Linked DNA regions of Struthio camelus. The protein of the gene in region 2 interacts with the protein of the main gene of each other region in a pairwise test. Links are inferred from orthologs where the notes say so. Each region holds a gene or a part of one and is shown on either strand. Other genes may lie near its edges. The genes, in order: GRAP2 and GAREM1.

Region 1 (11,568 bases), on a different chromosome or scaffold from region 2:
CCCAGTGAGAAAACGTAATCCTTCTCTGTCCTTTTAACCGTAGATCTATTTTTGTACAAAATGGCAGCTGCCTGCGCAAGTTGTGTTTTTTACTGAAAAGTTTTTGTCTCATCTCTTTTTCCTTACATTTTTTTCCCTTCCTCTTGTGCTTTTACAACAGGATTAAATATAAAAGTCTAGTTCAATATAGATTTCGCTATGATAATGTAAGCACAAGCATAGGAAATCTGATAATTAGGTTCCAAGAGCCATCTTATCTTGGTCATGTTATGCATACTTTGCCAATTTCAGCTTGCAGCCATGTTCTGAGAGTATATACAAATTATATACAAAGTTTCACATTTAAGTAACTACAGATAACCTGAAATGTTACCAGAAGTACGTACCATGTGACATAATGAGCATTGCTGTGGTACCTCCATTGCGTACTGGCACCAATTGCATACGTAACTCACATTCTGAGCCTCTGTGTTGTATTAACTATGTCTTTTCTTCTTAAGGTATCTTGTGGGCTCAACTTCTATTTAAACACAGCACCCCTTTTACAAGGCCCAAGTGCTAGAAAAGAGCCTTTCTATAAATTAAAGTCAGCCCATGTGTATCACACTTGGGAATGCTTCTGAAAGGATTTTAAAAGCAATCAATTATAATAACACATACATTTAAAGATGCAACTCCAACAGTCCATCCAATTTTTCTTCTGATTATAAAGTAAACATGAATGCCAGCTTGTTACTATTCCCAGGGATGGTCTCTGCACAGAATTTTTACCATTTTAAGCAGAAGCGTGGAACATATTTCATATTTGTCTATGCATTTTTAGCTCACTTGGATTATGATGCATTTGAAATTAAAGTGTAGCAGCAGTTCCTGAATGATTTAACGTGTAGACATTTTTTACTCTGAAGTGGGAGCGACTTGTTCTTGTTTATCTTAATCCAAAATTGAGCTATATCAAATTGGAATAGGTTCTCATCATCTGGAATAAAAATACCCAGGCAATACCATGATGTAGGAATATCGGTTACTGAATTACTGTGCAGACTGAGACTCAATCAAACACATAAAGTTCCTTTAGGTAGATCAGGCCTGACATCTTACAATTCACGTTCCTACGGCAGAGGCACCTTCACAGCAGTCAGGCTAACTGGAACCTCACTGCGTAACCCCTGCACAGCCTGCAAAAATAATCACAGCCTCACTCCTTCTACGAGCAAGTGATCGATTGCTGCTCTGCAGCAGCGAACCGCACAGCCTCTGACTAGTCAACAGAATGCATGTGGCAAAAAGGGAACGCTGCGCAAAGGGTGTGAATGAGTCATTCGACATTTCAGGTTGCCTGAAGTCATTCTGCTACATTTATTTCTAATCTTGATGGGCTATCCACATTTGCATATTAAGCAGGATGAGAAGAGAGAGATTTAAATTATTCGCTACGATACACACATGGAGGACAGCAGACTGCATGTGTGTGAGAACGTGGGCTTACATGCCTGTCCGCGGGAACAAGGCAGCAGGTGACTTTTCCACACTTGTATGTGAGCAGGCATTCTGCCTGCAAGCCTGAACACGTCTGAGCAAAAGTATGTTCGAACATGTGTTTCTCTAGGGATGTGATTATAAATGAAAGATGTTCATTTGCGTTGTGCCTGAATGGCGGAACAGAGGTCCTGTGAGCATGCTTCAAGTGATGTGTGTTGTGTTTTCCTTGGCAAACACAATTCTGAGCAACTGCAAACGACTTGGTCTGTGTACTCTCGGAGAGTAGACAAGTGTGCTGTGCGCATGGGGCTGACAAGGAGCACCCCAGAGCATGAGTGCAAGTCAGCTGAAGCTGCAATTTAGGTGTTAGTCAAACATCAGCAGTAATGAATCACCTATTTAAAGACTTCCATGGAAAAAATGCACGTCAACCTCTTCAGGTAGGATCTGGCCTAACATTATGCTCCTCCACTCCTGGTTATACTCCCAAGGAAGTTAAAGCAGAGAGTCTGACTGCTGGTAGCTCACACTGAAGTCCCTGTGATCCGTGCATACTTAGCAGCTCCGAGCATTAAGCCATCTTAAAATACGTGCTCCTCGATGAGGCTTAGGAGCCTCAGGTTGTACTTGGAGTTGAAATTTTGGACAAAGACACTCACTTAGCCCTCATTTAAGAAAAAGACCTATCTATCAGTACGGAGATGAAGATCTGGTTGAAATATCATGCAGGAAATATTTTCAGAGGTTGAAGGAGGTGAACATAAAAGATACTAAATGAGACTACTCAAGGTTATATCGCAAGGAGTAAATGCTTTAAATGGAAGATGGAAAATTTGTTGTGAATATGGACTCAGTGGGCCACATACGAACTAAATCTCAAAGAGATGAAACATCAGTTGAGTGGGGCAAGCAGAGCTCTGGGATCTTGCCTCAAGCTAAAAGCAGTCATATTTAGTTTTGCACGGAGCCAACAGTGTATTTGCGCCCAGAGCAAGAGACTTGCAGCATGCTGCATAGGTAGAGGGCACTGTCAAGATCTATGCTATTATTTTTATTTGTTGGTAATATCCAGGTTATTGCACCCTTTAAATTATTAAGACTTACTGCTTAAAGCACTGCAGATCCATCCCCTCCCCTTCCCCGATTCTGCAACTTAATTAACTCAATTAACCTTGGTGAATTAATAGAGGCTGGACACTGTCTCCTTCAGATTTAGTCACTTTTGCTCAGTGCTGCAGGTGCATACAGAACAATGAAGGGCACTACTTAAATCTCCAAACAGAATTGCTTTAATGGAAATGACAGTGTACCTTTATGGTATTTGTATTCATATTAAGTTTCATACCCTTCATTCTCAGAAAACCTAAACGCTGGGCCTAGTCTACGTAGCTTCTGTCCTATTAAATAAAGCTTATAAGAAGTGAGTACAATTCTGCTTGAAAAAAATCGGAAAAAATGAATTATTCTGTTTCTTTGGGTTGCAATTGGAGGCATATTATCGCAATTCCAACTTACCCAACTAGGCTTATATTGGCGTTGTACAGAAGATAAAATGGAATGAGATGGAAATCCAATGTCTAGTCCACTCCAAGGCACACAGACTGAGGTACATAAAGATCTAATAGCCATCGGTACTAGTGTTGAACTGAGGGGAGACTCCACATAAAAGAACTCCTTATAGCCCACATGGGTCTTGTGTAGAAGCGAGGGGTAACACACAGGAGGCAGCTCTGGATGTGCTGAGGATACCATAGCACAGGGAATGAGGGCAGAGAGGCACAACATGATCTACAGCAGACAACTGCAATCCAGTTCACAGATCCCCTGAGAACTGACTTCAGTCCCACAAGTTTGCTTAATTATGAGAGAACAATCGTTTCACCTAGACTTTGCTTTCAGGCTCAGAAATGGGTATGTAGACATTTAAAGAAACCACCTTTTGTGTTCAACAGTATCCTATGGTTTTTGAGGAGAGGACAACAAGCTATTTCTTCTATAACGCAACAAAGTATCATGCACACTTCTTTCTACAATTATGCTCCTGAATACACAGTGCGGACAGCAGTTCTGTCATCTAAGAATCATCTCATGAAAAGAGTTGAAAACAAAAAAAAAATGGACATGATATAATATTGACAGTCTATTGCATTCTTTACTGCATTTCTATGTTACATCTCTTTTCCTTACCCTTTGCCTGTCTTTCCTATTTAGACTGCAAGCTCCTTGGAGTGACGGGCAGTCGCAAATGTTATTCTTCCATATGGCGCAACTTAACAAAGCCCAGTGGGTTGGGACCGTTTGTAGAATCATACAATAATTAAGACTGAAAGGAATCTGTGGAGATCATCAAGTTCAAGCCCCTGCTCATGGCAGGGCTAACTTTGAAATTATACTAGATGAGGATGTAACCCCATCTTTCTACAGTGACTGCTCTAATGGAGCACCAGTCTCATTCAGGCAATAACATAAATTATATGCCTTTGTAGATCAAAGGCATACTGAAAATCATTTAGGTACAAGACCTGCATTAAAAGATTTGAGATTTCCTTTCACTACGCACCTTACAAGATTGTAAAAAACATTCATAATGTGCTATTGACTTCAGTGCAAGAGTTTAATTATACAATTGCATATTATCAAAACACATACTAAAACGAGGCTAGCATTACAATCATCATTTTCTGACTTTTTTTGTGCTTAATACTCCATTAAAAATCATTATTTGTAGATAGAATTCAGACCAGAAAAAAAGGAAAAAGAAGAAAGGAGAAGAAAATTCCAGAATGGAAAAATAATTATGCAGTCTAGAGACTGTAGAAAAAAATTGCTTGGCTATACACTGCAGGATGGTCTCTCATGTACCTTGTACGGTCTGCAAGAAGGTGCTCCTCTGCTAGATACCTTAGAAAGTCTGCATAAGAAAGTTTCGAGAGCTGCGTGCTGTAGGAACTGTGCAGCTCTTGCCCTTCAAGATGCATCGTGAGTGTGGTAAGGCTCTGCAGTGGGAAACCAGCCAATGGCAAGAGTTACTTGTCTCAAGACTTAAATAAGCTCCATGCACTGCTACAAGGTTTAACCCCTCAAAATACAGATTAGTGGTACGTCTGAGACAAACAAGGTGAATTTTATCCAGCGTGAATACATCTAAAAACACATTCAATACCACACTGCTGCTTCCACATGAAAAAAAAAAAAAAAGCTCACTGCGCTTCCATTTTCTATTACTGTTTCTATTACCGTTGCTTCTACTCGTATCTATTTTGCCTGCTTTAAGATTAAAAAACTGTAATGTTCACTTTCACTACTATTGCATATCTTGCTATATTTGATTACAGTAGGTTGCTTCTTTCGTCTGGAAGATGAGCCCTGTTTTTCAGTCCGCAGCTTTTCAAAAATTAAGTTATATTAAAAGTGATCATCTTTGTAAAAGAAACTAAACCGCAAACATCCCCAAAGCATTCACTCAATTTGGAAATGTTGTTTCTTGGTTGCTAAGTCTGGACAGCAACCTGGACAAGCTGGACTAGCTCATCTCTGCAGCTAGTCAAGGAAAGAAGTAGCTGCTCAGTCCTTCCAAAGCTCAAGGCAATTAAATGTCTGAGATTGCATAGCAGAAGTTGATGCATTCAAAGCCACTCCCTTATAAAATGTCATGCCAGGTTTGTTTAGACTGAGCAGGAGAACAACATTGCAAAAGAACATTTTGCTCAAAAGCTAAAAAGCATTTCAAACTAAAAAGTAAAATTAAACGTACTGAATTCAAGAGATTCCCAATGCATTTTACAAACCATGAATTAAATTCAGACTCACTTTGCATTTTTGTTATCCTGATTGGCTTCATCAGAGGGGGATGCAGCAGTGCTAGGCAGGGTGGAGGGGCCACACACGGCTGTAGTTTCTCCCTGGTGCATTTCAAAGGACTACAGCTGCTCCTTTGGCTTCTCTTGTTAAAACTACCCAGTGGTTTAATTAAGAAGCCCTATTATGAGCTTTTCTCTTGCCACAGCCTCCTTGAGACTAGCACTTCTCTGGACACTTTCTGGTGAGGGGTAGTTGAGTTAGTAAGCATGAATACTAAAGCATGATGATCGTGTCCTTTGATCCTAGCTTTGCGCTGGAGGGCACCTCCAGTTTGGCCGCCACTTTCCCTGACTCTATCTATTCCTTCTCCTAACAATGAAATCCATCCTCCAGTGTTTTTCAGCAGTGCACAGCAGGCTAGAAGCAGAAGCAACAACTGCCCAATTAAAATTGAAATGTCAGATGTGCAGAAGGCAAACTGAAATCTGCCCGGGCTATCAGGGCAAACACCTTTAGTCTTATGCAATTAGCTGAAGGATAATTGATGACCACAGGCAGTCAAAGCCACAGTTTTGAGTATCAAGTGCAAGAAATGTGCTAGGGCATATCATTCAGTACTGATTCTCTCTGAGTCACTAAACCCATCTCTTGAAGTGCTGAGGTTTTCCTTAGAACTCTCCCCAAAATTACCAGATAAAATCACAAGGTGCTTAAAAGACTCCAAGTGGTGTTTACCAGTGCGCTACCACTCCCAGGGTCTCTGTAAGTTATGGTATATATAAAACACTAAGAGGCCTTCAGCTGGCTGTGGTGAGGAAAGGAATCCTTCAGCCCAGCGTGGCCCCCCTGATGATTTATTACAGTGACACAGTAATAATGCAGGTAAAGCGGACAGCAGGTGTGGGGAGCTCTGAGGTGCTACCAAAGAGGCAGAAAGCAAACCAGGAGAGGAACTCTTCTTCTGGAGTACCAGTGGCCTCCCAAAGAACCACCCCAAACTACTACCCCAGTACAACAACACAGAGAGCTCCCTGTTCAGACAAGTCCTTCATCTTCATCCCTCTGTGCTTCCCTCTCTTCATTCACCTCTCTCTTTAGATTGAGAGCTTGTTGAGGCTAGGGTTTTCTTCTGTTATGACTTTGCCTTCACTGCAAAAACTGATGTGTTTTTCTAACACAACAGCTATTGCATAGTAAATTGCCAAAGAAAACATTATCTTGATGTAGTGACCTGAGGTACCTTCCAGGTAGGGTATATTGTATTTACCCTAGCAAGCCTCAGTGACATGAAGTCACCAGCGCTTTCTCTTCGCTGAACTTCCACATTAAGGTAAGTACCTAGAGGAAACCACTTTAATATTAAAAGCATGCCTACTTTTCGCAATGAAGACATAACCTATGTCAGCGCAGAGCATCCAGCGTCAACAGTGTCCAAAAGACAGCCGAAGCCTTGCTGTAAAAGAACTAATTAATAATAGAGCTTTGGGTGCTTAAGGCACGGACCCTCAGACGCTATGGATAGTTTTGCACAGAAAATTTGGACAAAAGTTCTTCTGAACCCATTCTGCAGTTGCTATTATAACAAATGATTAACCTCTTCAGACAACACCTGTACTTGCTTCAGTCTCGTTTCCCACAGCAACCTCAATAGCCAAGAGGAGCAAATCAGAATAACGTTGAAAAATAGTTTTAAAAAAATCAGAATAAAATTTATTAGCAAATATTATAGGAGGTACTTGTCATGTCTGTGCAGTTACAGCTGAGTGGAGTTTTGCGTTTAAAGTAAGGATTCAGTGTCTTTGTTATGTATGAGAGGCACAGCACACATGAAGAATTACAGTACTAAGAGCACATATTGAATTTTCTAAGAATTTACAGGTAAATCTATTAACTAATTTATGAGATAAAATTACTTCTAAATATGGGCCCTTTAAGAAACTTATTGCTTTGTGTTTGATCTTCTGTTTGTTTCTATGATCTCAAACATGGAATAATCCAAATCTTCAGACTCCCTAAAGATCAGTAAAAACTGATCAACATTTGAAGATCTTTCCGAGATTAATAGCCCTTTTTCCCTCTACCATACTTCTTACTGAAAATTTCCTCTTCAAAAAAACCCTGGTGTTCAATTTTTTCCTTCAGAGAATGCTACAAAGTGACCTTTCAAGATACTCGATCTGCCCACAGCTAGAATGACCCTTTCAAAATATTCATCATTTCACAGCAGGATTTTCTCCTGACAGGAGAAACTCCATAGTCCTTCAGCAGGGACACTAGGCTTCACTTCTGCTGGGAATAGAGAGAAGTAGTTGCTGGCTCTGAATGATGAAATTTTAACTATGTGTGGTGGTATCAGTCCCACTGAGAATTACCTTGCTGTGATGTCACGGAAAAGAAAAAATATTTTCTTAAACATTATTCAAAACTAATCTGAGATCACAAACATTCAGAGGCTTTGATTATTGCATGGGCTCATTACACAAAAAGGAAAAGACAACACTAAACCATTTAGGCATATGGGAGACAGCAATATATGCTCTCTCAGATCAGTAGGTGAAAAAAGTAACCGCTGTACATGGCTGCTGCAGAAGGTAACGACATGACAATACCTATACAATCTTCAGCAATGTAATATTGCCTGTCTATTCATCTCCTTCTACTAAGAAACTCAAAGTACTAATTACTTTAATGAATTAGGATTCAACTCCTGTTCAAGATAGGAAAGTAGTTTGAGACTACATTTATTTATCCTCTACAATAAAGTAAATTAGGAGAATTTCTTTCGGGTTTCACAGATTTAATCTCACAGATCTGTTACACTATTAGGATTATTCAAAAAGAAAAAGCCAAACATGTAATGGTTAAAGGATGCCACTATTTTTATATATATTAACTTAAATACAGTCTGACGCTTTCACACTGTAAACTTCTCACCCTGTTAGAGTTAGGATTGTTCCACCCCTATATAGAGCTCTGAACACTTGGCTGATGGAGGGTTAGGTCACCTTTCTCAGAATCATTATGTTTTGACCCCTGTTTGGGTAGCGTACTGGATGTAACAGATGGATAGTCTCATCTGGTACAGCAAATCCTATGTACAAACAGTCAGACAGAATGCCTCCAGTATGTTAGCTTTAGACACTATACTCTTCTACACGGAAAAAAAGGTTACCAGAGCACATTCATGCATAGAGACAATTTTAAAAGTTTGTCCACATCCTGAGATAATCCCTGTTTAGATTACAGGGGTTATGGCAAATTTCTCCTGTGCCAAAACTCAGCTGTAGTTTGGAGGTGCTATGACCTGGAAACGTATTTAATTTGATGTTGTTCTTTATGTAGCCAATTTTTTTAAAATAAAGGAAGTCTAAAGCTATAGGGGTTAAAGTCTGTACTCTAAGCATCGCTGGGGAATTTGTCATGCTGAGATAATAAAAAATTGGGGAACTGGCAAGGAAAATCTGGAGAACACAAGGCATATAGTGCCTCAGGAAAAAAAATGGCATGTAATTAGTACTGTACACTGCTCTGAAAAGATAAAGCAGTATGTAAAAAAGGTTACAGAGTAGGGGAGAGGGAGAAAGGATGGATTTTGCAGCTCCAAGAGAGGGAAGAAAGGATTTCATCATGTATTGGTGCATGCTGTTCATTTAGGCATTCTAGTCATTTTCTTTCATCTCATAATACTTCACAGTGCTGACCTGTGATCTCAGTGCCATGATAATGTGGCCATTCTTAGCAAGCATATTTCTCAAAGGTTAGTCTCCCCTGCTTAGATGTTATTTAAATGGTGTGTTAGCATGATTCTTTAATCAGCAGAATGATTAAGAAAATTTAAGGCTACAGGAAGAACTCAGACCCTTCCAAGATCACTTTCCTTCATTCTCATCTTCTTGAAATTCTCATCTTCACCCTCCGGAAATAGTACTTACAGTGACTGTGCTTCAGAGACAAGGTTCTGAGCTATAGCCAAAAGAAAAAGAGATACCCTTCTTTTCACCCAGATTACCCATCTGGATATGCCCGATACCCCTGGGACACTAGTGGCCAAACATCAGAAGCATTTAAGTAAAGCATCAATCCACTACAGGGCTCGTATGGTTATATCATGAGAATAGCTTGTAACTTAAAGCATGAAGGCTATAGTACATACACTTGTTAGCCTAGCTCATACCGCTACAAGTTTTATTCCTGTTCGTGCAAGTCCCTTTCCCCCCTCCCTTTTAAAAAGTACTTGTTTTAAATCCTATTTAAAATGAAAGTGCCACTATAAAATGCAGAAACAAGGCAGTTTTGTCTAGTGATTAAGGAACAAGATCAAGAATCCAGGGAGCAGTTTCCAGCCCCAGACCAGATAATGATTTGTTGTGCACCCCTGGGCAAGCCACTTCAGGGCTTGTGTAGGGCACGTCCACATAGTACGGTGTCACTGCGTATGGAGATATTTAAATGGCTGGGGTACCGAAAGCCATAAAGCTCAGTTCTCAGAAGGCTAGTTCGTTTTTACAGACCGTCTAGCTAGTCAAGTTAGTATGGCTATAGTGCTTCTGCCATCTTAGGTAACTCAGCGATACCACATCCATGCACATAGGCCTGACCTTAGTTATAAAGTGAGAGAATTCATACCGACCCATCTCAAGGACAAATGGGCAAAATGGCCATCGACAGACAAAAATGTACACAGACAATAAGATGAAAGGCCTACACAGGAAAAGCAAATTTACCACCATATAACCCCTGATGGGACTGTGTATTTCCTTTGCTGTTGCCCAAATTTACTAAGAATGGCGGAAAACTAAGCTGAACAAACCAAGAAGTCTCCTGCAAGGGAGCTGCAAAGTAAAGATTTCTGAAAGATATGGGATTTATGGATGCCATTTGCGCTGACTGGAATATGGCTTGCAGCCAGCCCTGAGCTTTAAATCAAGTGTGTGACAATCATTATATTCAATATAACATTCTGAGGAACTGAAAGCAGACAGAATGGCTAAGCTCCTTTTAAACCAAAACCAGACTCTGGAGAAAAGTGAGAAAGGTAAAGGAAGACAGGGCCTTATTATACTGTAAAAACTAAAGAAACAAAAATCACCCCCAAACACATAGGCATATTAAGGGTTGCTAGAAATATTTAGTTAGTGGTAAAACTATCGGCATTTTCTCAGCCTTTGTGGTTAGGCCCTTTTGACTGCCTATATCAGAGACTGAATGAATATCATTTTCATTACGTGAGGCAATAAAAGTAAACCAAAGGAGACTGCCTACAGCAGTAGTCCCAGACCCGTGGCTTAACAGCAACCTCTTGCCTGCCAAACTTTCAGATATTGCTTGTGGCCACAGAGAGCTGCTGTCAAGCTGCAAATTGATGGGGAGGGCAAAGTATAACACTGTATGCATGGTATAACTTCCTCACTGCTGTTGCCCTTGAATCAGCAAAAATGGAGGGCACCAGCATATGGCTGCAAGAGTGAAAGGTAAGAAGCGTGAAAAACAGAAAATGCTGTGAAACTAGGTAGAGGAAGAGAAAGTTTGAAGGGAGAAGCGATATCTTTAATTTAGAGTAATGGCTACAACTGAAAAAAAAACAGATAAGCTTCCAGAAACACTATACCTTCTGCAAACTAATGTAAAAAGGTATAAGAGATCATGTCAGACATCTAATTTGAGCAGCAGAGACCCAATACTCCGGGAGTTGTACAAAATTTTGTCTTGTGAAGGGCCAATTTTCGTTTTGCCCAGGAAGCTCCCTCAGTTTGAACAATTTTAAGAGATGTGTGTGGAGGGGAGTGGTAGAGAGGAAAATACAAAAAAAAAACAAAACAAAATACAGACAACACAACTAATCTGATTTCAGATGGGTACATTTCACTCAGCCTATCCCTCCAACTCCAGGTTATTTTGCTTCCCAGATAAAAATCGGAAGGACGCACAGGGCTATTTTGTATCTAAATCACTTATCTATGGTATTATCCAGTCTGGATGCAAGAAAGTTAGAAACAGAAGTAAATGCCAATATATATGAAAGTAGGAGGAATTGCTTCAGTGGGACACCAACAGCTTTTTCTCTCTGAGCCCCTGCTAAAGGAACACGTTTTCTCTATAGTTTCTTCCCCACTCATTTAACCATCACATCATAACTAGAGTTTATTCAGAGCCCAGGGAACAGAGGCTAAAGTGTGGGCCTCTTCCTCCTTCCACCTGCAAGTGGATGAATTGCACTGCCACTTAAATTGACGAGGGTCTTCCATTCCAAATAGTGGGCCACTATTTAGGGTTTCTCACCCCACA
Region 2 (11,951 bases):
AACAGTAATTTAGACCATGGCAGCTGCTCAGAGTCTAAGCATATATGAATTCTCTTTTTTGGTCTGTTTGAAAGTTTTACTCCTCCCCTACATGATTCTTATTCCCGTGTATCAATAATGGATTACTGAGACACTCTGCAATAGCTGCTTGAAAGAAGATCATTCACAACAATTAAAGCCTGGATATCAGCCCTCAGACCTTAGAAGAATAAGATTCTTTGTAGTTTCAAAACATTGTTCAGCTTCACAGATAACCCACATTTGTGGAGTGACGCAATATGAAATTTTCATTATGTACATGGCCACGCTGGTCTATTTAGTATAATGTTCTTTGATAAGCTACAAGGGTGTTCGGTTTCAAGACATTTAGAACCAGATTAAGCCCTGCAATAACGTGCTGTAAGGAACAACAGTCCACTGAAAGGGAATAGAGTAGCCTGACATCACGGTGAAAGGTTTTTGAAACGGGAGAGAAAGAGGGCACCTGAATACCTTAAGGGGAAAAGGGGTGGGGGGAAGTAGTGCATCTAGTGTGGAATCCCACCAAGGAGAACTGGGAATTATAGTGCAGTAAATAAAACCTCTTCATCCCCAACAGCAATAGCAAGACAAACTCACTACTCTCCCAGTGCTGTTACTCACAAGAGTGTAGTCAGGGCTAAGGAAAAAAAAATTAAAACAGATTTTTCACCCATTTTACGGATTTTTTTCCCCCCTCTCTTTATTGTCACTAATTCTGTCATTTTATCTTAAAGCAACCACACATTTACACCACATAGAGATGAATTTCCTTCTGAATCTTAGTGACCAACAAGGACCTAGAGACTCCACTCCAGAAAAATTCAGTATAGTTTTCTTATAGCGCATAGCAGGAAAGCACTTCTGTGCAAGCTGAGGTCTTCACACAACCAAACAAGTGCCACTATGTTTCGATCCCAAGAGCTTCAGCTTCCATAACACATTTTCTGGAGCATATGCAAGTACGATTGTCCCTTGTGAAAAAAATAAATAAAAAGAGGATTGCATCCCCTCTTGATCCCAGAAAATCTAGTCTTCATAGAGAACCTGTGCATTTCTGTGAACTTTTCTAGTTCATACCCATTCTGTGGGTCAAAACAACTGATAGCATAGTCAGCTCTTTAAGTACTTGTGGAAATTAAGCAGTAGTGGCAGGGTAAAAGGAACTCCCACTGGGTAAAAAATGAGGGACTGTTGGAGTCTGAAGAGAGCAGTGAGCTTACATGCAGAAAAGCTAGGCCTGAAGGTCAACTCTACGCAAAGCGACACTTTCCAGCTCTTAATCTTGATAGCATTTCTCCTTAGCTCTCTAAAATTATCCTTAGAAAAATAGTTTTTAGAAATTTAAAACCCTGAGATAACCACGTGCAACATCACTTAAGCGTTACAGATTAGCAAAAAAATACAACCATACAACGACTTTTAGCCTCTTTTACTATTATCTGAACACAGGCAATCCAAACCTCCAAGCGCATCCAAGCTTCTCCAATATCAGCTATGGTCACGTTTCGCCGTATTTGCAACAACCAAACTCAGACAAAAGCTCTTTTTGCTGCTAGTTGCCAGAGTGCAATTTTTTTCTCACTGAGCCCACACATAAGTCCCTCAATTTCATTGGGGTAGCTTTCCGCTGTTACAACACAAATTTGTGGGGATGCGGGGCGGGGGGGGGGGAGGGAGGAAAGGAGCGGGCAGGGAGAGAAGATAGAAGAAAATACAACAGAAAAATTGCTCATCTGTCACTCTTTGAATCTTGTTTCTTTCCATCTGAAACAGCCTACTTGAATGAACTTTATATCATCCTTTGGATTTCACTATTTTCACTGGTAAGGTGTTAACAGTTTTATATTTGAGCTATCCTCTAGAAATCTTCAAGCCACTAGATGTTGGAAAGAACATGGAAAAAGCAGTTCCCTTTCTCTAAGGGGTGAGAGCATTGTGTTTTTGGATTTAGTTTGTTCAATTAATATACAAATATTCACCAGCAAAATATTAAAATACAAGAGTAGATTGAAACACTACGCAAGCTGTGACCCTCAAAATGATACAGTACAGAACTTATCATTTATGAGCATCCAAAAACATGACCCGAAACCCAGCTAAGCAATCTTAAATTTTCATATTAAAAAAAAAAAAAACAGTTAAAGTTGACATATTTCTCATTTCTATATAGATAAGGCAGACATGGTTGCCTAACTACTTCCACAGATACCTTAACATAAGACTACTACTTCGCATTCCTCCTTTACGCCATACCATCAAAAAAAGCCCTCCCTTCCTAGGAGAGGACTGAATTTAGTGCACATAAATATTTCATAACTTCATTCTGTCAAGAAATCAAACTGAACTACTTAAGGGCATTCTTCCAGGAGCTTCACACCCCAACTGGAAATATTCATCATATCCATTTCCCCACTTCAATCTGAAAGCCCTAAAGGTGCTGCAGCAACAATGAAAGACTGAGGACCTTATGTGCATATCATCCAAGAATAATATCCACCGAGCATTCACCTCCGTTAAGAAATGTAGAAACAACACAGTAAGGCTGTCGTCTTTGAAGAAAATATGTTACCAACTTTTCAATTCCCTTCTACATCCTGGTCCTCCAAAGAAAATGAATTCTGGCTTTGATAAAACCTCACAATCACTGAAACAACCAGCTACCACAGACATACTAGCTAGCTATGAAATCTAAATGGGATGTACGTAAGACATCTGAAGGTTGTTTGATTTCCAACAGTATAAAGCACGTGCAGCTTCCACTGGCCTCAAGAGGAATTCAGCACCTAATGAACAGACAAGGTCACTTCTGTGTAAACTAAAACTATGACTTGTGGATGAGTATCTACAAGCTGTACATTTCAGTGGTGCAGAGAAAAGAACTGCATCCTGATAAAACTGGTACAAGACACTACTTGGTTAACAGAGATAGCCTTAAACTTCATAAGCATCAGATAATATGCATTTGGAATGGACTTTGTAATTTATTTTCATCAGTATGTTATCAAGAAGCTCTCCAACAGAGCTCCACTTAGCAAGACAAGGACAGAGATGAAGACCAATGACCGTGGAACAGCAGGTGCTCCAGACTCTACACAAATATTGCATGTTCCCAACTTTTTCCCCTTTAGCAGACCACATGCTGACTCAAGGCTTGCTTTTCTCTTACTGCAAGACAATTTCCTTTGGAAATAGAAAAAGTCTGCTCTTAGTACCAGAGAGACTATGGCATCTATATTCTTTATAAAATATTGATTTGTCTGCCATCTGTCATTCCAGAAGTGAAAAAGTATGTCCATATGAGCAGGTAAAAGCAGACCCACAAGCCCTTGCTCCAACTCGGAACTAGCCAGACCTGAACCAATTCCAGTTCAAAAGCCAAATTGTCAACTTATTGCAGTGCTATATCCAAGCCTGCCTTTTAGCAGGATTTAGTAGAGGGCTGGACCTTCACTCATACAGCCAGACCAACAGCTGTCTCATGTCTGGCCATCTCAGGGCATGCTCAACAGAGCTCAGGTCTGTCTACTTCCATCTGTGTGTGCCCATATGCTTTAAGGGTGGCACACAGGAGAAAAAGCCTTTGCACAAAGTTAGCATCATTTTTGTCTCCCCAACAATTATGGTGAATTATGGTGCATTCCTGTCCCCAGTTCTGAAACGAGACCACCTTGCCCACCCCCTCCCCACAAAAGTCCATAAAGAAGGGTGGGAAATAGCTGGGGGGGGGGATACTAGCCTCATAACTCATCAACTTTCTCTGCACTCAAAGTTCTTGCAGGGCCCTTTCCATGAGACAGGTCAAGAGGAATGGGGAGGTTAGGAAGAAGTATAACACAGAGACAGGGAAATTAGTAAGTCATCAATATAGCCTATTAAAGTCTGAATCACTGCCAGCAATCTCAACTAAATTGACAGCCTAAAGTGCAGAGACTGGGAGGCCATGTTAGCTGTTTCAAGTGACAAAAGGTATTACCACAGGAGGAACTCTTTAACATAGCAGCTTTGCCATTATAATCACAGGACAGTGTATGGCTGATAATAATGAAAAATAGTCAGATGCAGTTAAAAAGGCAAAGAACCTTCTCTTTAACCTGCTCCTGAGCACCAGCTCCAAGAAAGCACTACAAGGGATAGGAAATGTACTGCATAACCAAAGGACAAAGTCAAAAAAACCCTGGCTTGCATCATCGCAAGATTATGGGAAGTGCAGTTAAGTAATAAACCAATCCTGGTCTTGACCTGCACACAGGATAGTAATAGAAGACATTTCCTGTGCCCCTTTTTAACTGTCCAAATCAATACAAAACTTTGTAAGAGAATTGCTCCATTAGATCATATAACTGCGAGGGCACTTCATAAGCTAATGAATCATAAGGTCTGGAAATTTTTCCTGATTTCTGAGATATCTTCTGCATTCCCTTAGGGCTGGGAGAGTCAGACAGTTTTTATGGGGCTACCACACAACATACATACACAGCATCATACATCAGCTGTTTGAGCGTCATAAAGAAAAAATACACAAAAAACCCACGCACACACACCCCCAAATGATTATTTCCTCAGTTCTCTGTGCTAGCTTACTACTTCTGAAGAGAAGTATGTAGGAATAGTAAGATGTTGCTGTGATAGCCATTCAGTTGCACTATTTTTGATTTCCTGAAGTGAACAGAAACATGCAGACTTCGAAACCATAGGTTAGAATACAAGTGAAGAGTAATAAAAAGTTTTCTGGAGACTTAAAAGGCCTCTCAAGTTACCCCTCTCTTTTACAGGTCTGTTGCTTTTCCAGTAAACGGCAAGCAGATATTTTGTGATTTAGCCCACTTTGTTATTTAATACTCTGTCTTATTTGGCCTTGATGTAGCCACCACAGCATCACTTCAACGCAATATGGGGTCTTTAAGCACTGCAAATGCCCTTCTATGTTCTAACTGGCGACTTCGAGGACCTTTCTCGGGGGCTGGCAGCTGGCAGCGCAGGCTTCCCCGAGTGCCCCTCGACACATGCAGTAACGGTGCGGGGGCAGAGGGGGGGAAAACCCAGATATCCTGACGCAAGGCAGCGCAGGAAGACCCCAACCGAAGCCCTAGCTTTGCGCCGACCCCACGTTAAGGGCTGGCTGCGGGGCAGAGCCCGCACGGGGCAGCGTTTCGGGAAGCCGCAGCGCTCTCCGGCTCCCTCCGGCTGGGGCTGGACGGGAGAATCTGCCGCCGCGGTCCGCCAGCCCGCCCCGCGGCTGGCCCCGCGGCGGGCTCCGCGGCTGGCCATTAACTCGCGGCCGGGCCGCTGCCGCCCGCCGCGGGCCCAGCCGGGCACCGCACCGCACCGCGCCCCCCGCCACCCCCGCGGCGCGGGGAGACGCCTCGCCTCGGGCCGCCGCCGCCGCCGCCTCACGCACCGCTGTCCAGCCGGGCGATCTGCGGGAGCCGGTAGGTGCTGACGAGCAGGTCCAAGGGGACGGCCACGGCGCTCCACTTCACCTCTTTGAGGCTGCAGCCCGGCGGCGGGCCGGGGTCCATCTTCCCGTCCTCCGCCCGGCCTGGGCAGCCAGACGCGCCGCGCCCCGCCGCGCCGCGCCGGCGGGGGGCTGCCGCCAGCGGGAGGCGGGCGGGCAGGCGGCGAGAGGGGCAGGCAGGGAAGGACGGAGGGAGGGAAGGAGCCCGCCCGCCGCGCTCAGCACCGGCCGCCGCGGGACATGCCGGGCCGGGCTATGCAGAAGGGGCCGCCCGCCGGGCGGCTGCTCCCGCTGCCGCCGCCGCCGCCGCCCCCCGGGACCGGCTGGGGCCGCCCGGCGCTCTGCCCGCTGCCGTGCCTGGCCCAGGAAGCGCCATCCCAGCACTGACTAATCAACAGGGTGCGAGAAACGCCTGCGCAGCTGCCGCTCCTCCCCGCTCCAAAAAGGAAAGTGCCGGGCTACCCGCCCGGCGGGGGAGCGCCGCCGCCGCAGCCCGCTGCCGCCGCCGCCGAGCCTGTCCCTCTCACTCCACCCTCCGACCGCTCGCCCGACCTGCAGCGGTTGGCGCCGCGCGGCCGTTGGGCGGCCGTTGGGCGGCCGTTGCGGGGCCCCCTCCGGCCGGGCCGCGCTCGCCCAGCAGCGGCCGCAGGGGGTGTGGGCCCCCCCCCTCCCGGCGGTCGTGAGGGGGTGCGGGCGGCGGGGAAGATCAAGCTACGCCTTGGAGCCAGGCTGTGACCTTTAAAGACGATCGGAGTGCTCTCCCTGCAGCCAGTTCCCAGGACTGGGGTTGGGAAAGGGAGGCTACGGCGAGGGAGGCCGTAGCACTGCACAAAGTGAGGCGATATGCATCATTTAATTGCCCTTAACGTGCTTGGCGTGCAACTTAGAAAGGTTCTGGCGTCTCTTCGAGCACATGGATTTACATGTGCCGCTCCCCTGTAAAATAAGCAAAAGGAAGCAAGAGGACAGGGAGATCCATCTGTACACACATTTAAATGTACAGTAAGTAGATAACATGTTTCACTTCATTTATCAAAGCGGTTTTGAGCAAGTATGTTGCATTAAGTCTTCTCACTATTCACCGTAGGTAATTTGCCTGTGAAATTCATACTACGTTAAGAATAATCCAGTTAAATGACAACTTTGATCATGTATCTCTTGTTTTAGTTTTCAGCTGTGAGCCACAAATGAATATTTAAAGTATGAAGAGTAACACACAGAAGTTAGAGCAAGATCTTTGACTTGTTGTTAGTGCACATGCAAGTATTAAATACACCGGGTGGGTGTTTTGTGATCTTCCGGCCACAGGAAAATTTTAAATCAACCACTAGTTCTCTTTTCGGAATGGTTTATGTAATGAAGCCTTATATAAGCTTCATAATTTTTTTCTTGTAATCTTGTGGGGTTTTTTTTTCCTATGGTAGGTGTAACATCTCCAGATTGCTAGACTAGAAACTGGGGGAGCTTCAACAGGGAAAACTTACTCCCGGGTGGTATGCTGAGTGTATTTCAATTCACTTTTGTATCAAAACTGAAAATTTGATTACAGTAAGCTCTGCTATGCTTAAGGCTGTCTGATTGACTAGGAACGTTATAAAAGTACTTTCCAGTGATTTATAAAAGGACTGAAAAAATCCACAACTAGGCTCTCTCTCCAAGATCTGTCTTCTGCGGTATCTGTCTTTGAGGCTGTTGGCGATTGCTGGGCGAGAGCTCGCAAGAGTTGCAGTGCAAATAGCTCTCCTGCCCTTCCTGCTTCCTCACGTGCTTTCTAAAGGAGCCAGCCCTGCTGAGTGTCTTTGTTCACTGCTGGTGCCAACAGCACCACAGGCACATGGAGGGCCAAGACAGATACGCGCTTGTTCTGCTCCATGGCAAAGAGAAGCTGGTGCTGCACGCATGCTCTCCACCGTGATGGATCTGGGTTGGTTGGAACCCCACCTTGACAAGGCACTGGGATTTCCCAGCACTAATTATGACAAACCATAATTCTCTCAATTCAGTTATGGTGCTACTAGATCCTAGTTATCATAACAGCATTAAAAATATCCATACGGATTGTGGATTTTTTTTTGTAACTTGCATCCCTTTTACAAAGTCTGCAAAATGCTTTGAACAGCTTCAGTGAATGGAGCTATTGAAGTGCAAAGTGATATAATAGCTAAAAGCATAATTATGTGAAATATGGAAATCAAAATAATGGTTTTAACTTTTTCAGGTTTGACAAGGTTACTGGATGCAGTGGGATTCACCAGGACTTGAAGAATTGCTTGAAGAATTGCTTTTAAACATGATTTTAGCCAGCGTTAATTCCAGGATAGATACAGTCTCACAGCATATGCTTCTCTCAAACATCATGCAGTTCTGCTTTCTGGGAAGAAATGTATCTTTCACACCTGAAATAGCAATTGCTAATTTTTTTTTAAAGATTAATTTCTCCTTCTTCAGGCAGTTTTATATGTCATACAGTTTTTAAGCCTTTCTTGTTTGTTTGCTTTCTAATTGTAGAAACCTAACATACTCTTTCCCATTCTATTTGAACACAATGCATTTTTTTAAATGTAAATTCTCGACACAGCCTAAATTTCATTTAGTTATTTTCAGGCAAACTAACATCATAAAGCTTATTAGCATTTAACTGTTTCACTAGAGCTCTTAGAGTGACCTTGTTACATGCCCTAATTATACTGTAGCTGAACCTTCTTGAAATATATTCTAATATTACATGTACAGCATTCAAATCACAAGCACATATGAAACTGTGCCTCTTCCTTGTTTTAACTGCACCTTATGTATAATTAACACTTTAGATACAATCATTTCCCTGATGTTTAGCAGTGCCTCAGACCTTTAGTGTGATCTCTTACCAAGTCTCCTACACTGCTGCAAAATACTAATTAAGTTAATGAAGTCAATAAACCTTTACAGAAATGAGTGCTAGCAGATCCATTTCAGGATCAGGGCCTCATTTTTTCAGGAGCCCTTAGTTCTTGTGTATGTGTCTTTCAGACAGCATTCAGAGACAGTCTTTTTGTATCTAAAAGAAATGGTAGTCATGAAAGTAAGCAGTGGCAGGGGGACTCGGAATAATTCCTGAAATTATTCTCAAGTGCATTTTGAATTGACAACATTTCATGTTTGTTTAGCAATGCAGTTATAGAGCAGGCTATAAAATCTCTAATATATTTATTCTATTGCCAGTAAAAAGATTTTTAAAGTGTTTCAGGTCATCATCCATTCATATCTATGGTAGCATTTGAAATGGAGCTGTTCAAAAGAAACTGTTTTTTTAGTCTGGTAACTTGCTTTACAGTTTAATATGCATACACCAAATAAAATTATGTGCCTTATACAGTAAATTTCACATGTTAGCTGTGGAGCCATTTCAGACAGTTTTTCTTTAAAATAAATTCTTTACAGAAAAAAAGAAATACCCTCCTTCTTCCTGTATGTGATTTGCATTTACAGCAGACCTGATTTTCAGATAAGTAAATGTTCACAAGTCCACTTAAAATAAGAGGAGCTGCAGCAATCATTTCAGAACTGGATCTTAAACCTTTCTTGGCGGTGAGGGGGAAAGTGGAAAGAGAACAGCATATTTGGTATAGTTGATGTCTGCGTATCTCATGTTTTGAAAGAGAACACTATTCCTGTCTTATTGGTAAAATCCAAGCAATCTTTGCTCCTACAAGGTACTGTAAAGAGACCTGCCGTTCTGGTATGTACATTTACCTTTTATCTTCTCTCTCATTGTAAGAGGCATCCTTTTTTTTTCCAGTCAAACCCCTCATTTAACCATTATTTCTTCTAAAAATTCCTTCAGTAGAAATTTGTGTGACGCTATCATCCAGCCAGCTTAAGAGACAATTCAGAAGTAAATGAAGATAACGCTCTCAACTTACAACCCTTTTTCTAATTGGGTAAATGCCTCCAAACACACTGTGTAGCCGTTTGGTAGGGGTTTTTTTGACCTGTCTAATCAGAGTAGTTCTTCTGTGGTGGCACACCTCTGTGGACAGAGACCAGGAATACTCCCAATGCTTGTGCTCAGAAAAAGGCAGAAGTTGCTTCAGTGCAGGAGAACAAAAATGCAAAGAGGAGAGGAATAATGCTACCTGGAGTGTTAAACAGAGAAGGGGTAGGGTCCTGCCAACCTTCGCTGTGGTTAGGAACCTAAATAATTTGTACCTCCCTAGGGCAGGCCAGTGACTGGACAGCAGCTAAGCCACAAGAAATAGAAAACGTTGTGAGAATGAATAACATACAGAAGGAATTCCATAGTTTGAAAATCCGATTAATTATAGAGAAATTAAAATTACAGATCAATCTGACCATCTTTTATATGTTTATTTTCATTGTGAATTTCAGTCTTAAGAAGAGGAGGAAAAAAACCCCAGCAAAATAGAAACAAAGAACTGAACGCAGACCTAAACTCAGAGAACTGTGAGTTCAAGACAGCTTCAAGTTCCTTAAAGATCCACTGCTGAAGGCAAAATTGCAGAGGAAGGAGAGGAAGTGAAATAACAAACTAACTTGGCTGAATTGGAAGATTTTCAGTGACCTGAAACAAAGCAGAAAGTAGGTCAAATTACTAAAGTGTCAATATGTATAAATATGCAGAACATGTATGGACAACACCAGAAAGATCAAGTCTCAAAATGTTAGATAACTGGAATTAAAAGATAACAAGGATGTTGGAAAAATGCACAGTGAGAAGACCAAGGAAAAAGTTAATGTTATTCTCTGGAGGGAATCTATTCACTGATGATGCCCAGACAGCAGTATCCCAAATGTCTTTTTTAATCTCAGTTTTCAATTTAAGAAGGCAGATGTGATTCAACCACTAGCACTACTGACAAAGGGCTAAGAGTTTAGGCTAGAATAATGAAGAAATAGATTGGAAAATACTTAGATGAAGATTTTTGAGCAGAGTGGACCCGATGAAATCCCTTAGGTACTCAAAAAACTGCTTCAAGCAACATTAGAGCTGCTACTGACTATCTCCAAGAATCAAAAGAGGATGTGTGAGGGTTCAGAAAATTGGAGAAGGCAACCATTGCATCTCTCTTAAAGGGTAGAAAGGAGGAGAGAGCGCTGCAGACTGATTAGCTTAATTTCCACTCCTCAGAAAGATCTGAACAGGTAATCCAACCATTTGTAACCATCTAGAAAGCAGAGACAAGAGAAGTAACAGTGAGAAGTGACAGACTCCTCTGTCAATACCAAACAATGTCTGTCAATACCAAACAATGTGAGATCAGTCTATGAGGAGGTAGCGGGCTTTGTGGAGAGGGCAGAAAGAATGAAGATCATAGGGTTTCATATACTGTGCTCTTACCTGAAAAGAATATGGTCTAGAGAAGTATATAAAACAAGTGCAAAATTATTTCAAAATAATTTATATTCTCAAGCTGGAAGAACGTATCAAATGGGATTCCACTGAGATCTGTCTTGGGTCCGGAACTCTTCAGTATTTTTATCAACATCTTGGATGACTAAATAGAGTATACTTATTCGCATTTGAAGACCACATCTACAGGAAGGGGCTCCAACTATGCTGGAGTACAGCATTACGATTCAGAAAGATCTTGGCAAACTGGAGAAAATGAAAGGCAACTGAATAACGAGAAATTCAAAATTCTACACGTATGAAGGAATAATCAATGGCACAAATAAGTATCAGGATGAAAAAGCAGTTTTTAGAAAAGAGGCATCATGGATCACAAAGTGAACAGTTAGCAACATCAGGTTATCTTACGCAGTTGCTGAATATATAAATAGGAGCATCAAGATAATGAAGAAATCATTTAAATCTATCCAGCCCTTATTATTTAAACTGGAATATGGTGTTCAGATTTGAGCTCTGTACTACAGGATAGTTGAGGACCAACTCAAAAATATCAGGACAGCAACAAAAACAGCAAAGGATTTAGAAAACCCAGACTCTAAGGAATGGTAGGAGGGACTGGAATTCTTTGGTCTAAAGAGGAGACGGTGCCAGACCGTGGTATTCACAAACATGAGGAAGAAAGAAAACCTGCTTTCCATGTGTAGCAGTTACTTTAGGTATTAGGAAAACTTCTTACTTGCCAAACCAGTTAAGTAAGGATTACTCAGTAAAGTTACTCAGACAGTGGAATCTCCATCACTGCAGGTCTTTAAACAAACACCTTCCTACAACTGAGCATGTTTGGCTGATCTAGGACTAGGATAAAAGAACAAACTAGACAGCCTCTCAACATCTCCTCTGGCACTATTTTCTTCATTTGCTACAGTTTTATCTAAGGCAGGGATTATCCTTTGTTCTTCATGTTCAGATTCTGATCTAAATGCTGGCTTCAGTAACTGTGTCTACGCTACTCATGGACAGTAGTCTCAGAAGCAGCGGGTAAGTGTGCAGCCCCTTCCTGAGTCACACACCTGCAAGCATACTAAGTTGCCTACCGCACAGTAGCCTGCCTGTATGCTCAGGCGT

What was found.
Region 1: the proteins of GAREM1 (region 2) and GRAP2 interact in binary tests that used the Homo sapiens proteins (3 or more experiments, as listed by UniProt). The link is inferred for Struthio camelus from reciprocal best matches to the Homo sapiens genes GAREM1 and GRAP2.

The regions. Positions count from the first base shown.
Region 1 is NC_090942.1:57,585,463-57,597,030, forward strand, and holds the start of GRAP2 (GRB2-related adapter protein 2), read right to left. Parts: upstream 4,484-11,568; 5' UTR 4,461-4,483; coding exon 4,345-4,460; intron 1-4,344. UniProt on the Homo sapiens protein: Interacts with SLP-76 to regulate NF-AT activation. Binds to tyrosine-phosphorylated shc.
Region 2 is NC_090943.1:142,629,965-142,641,915, reverse strand, and holds the start of GAREM1 (GRB2-associated and regulator of MAPK protein 1), read right to left. Parts: upstream 5,608-11,951; 5' UTR 5,541-5,607; coding exon 5,420-5,540; intron 1-5,419.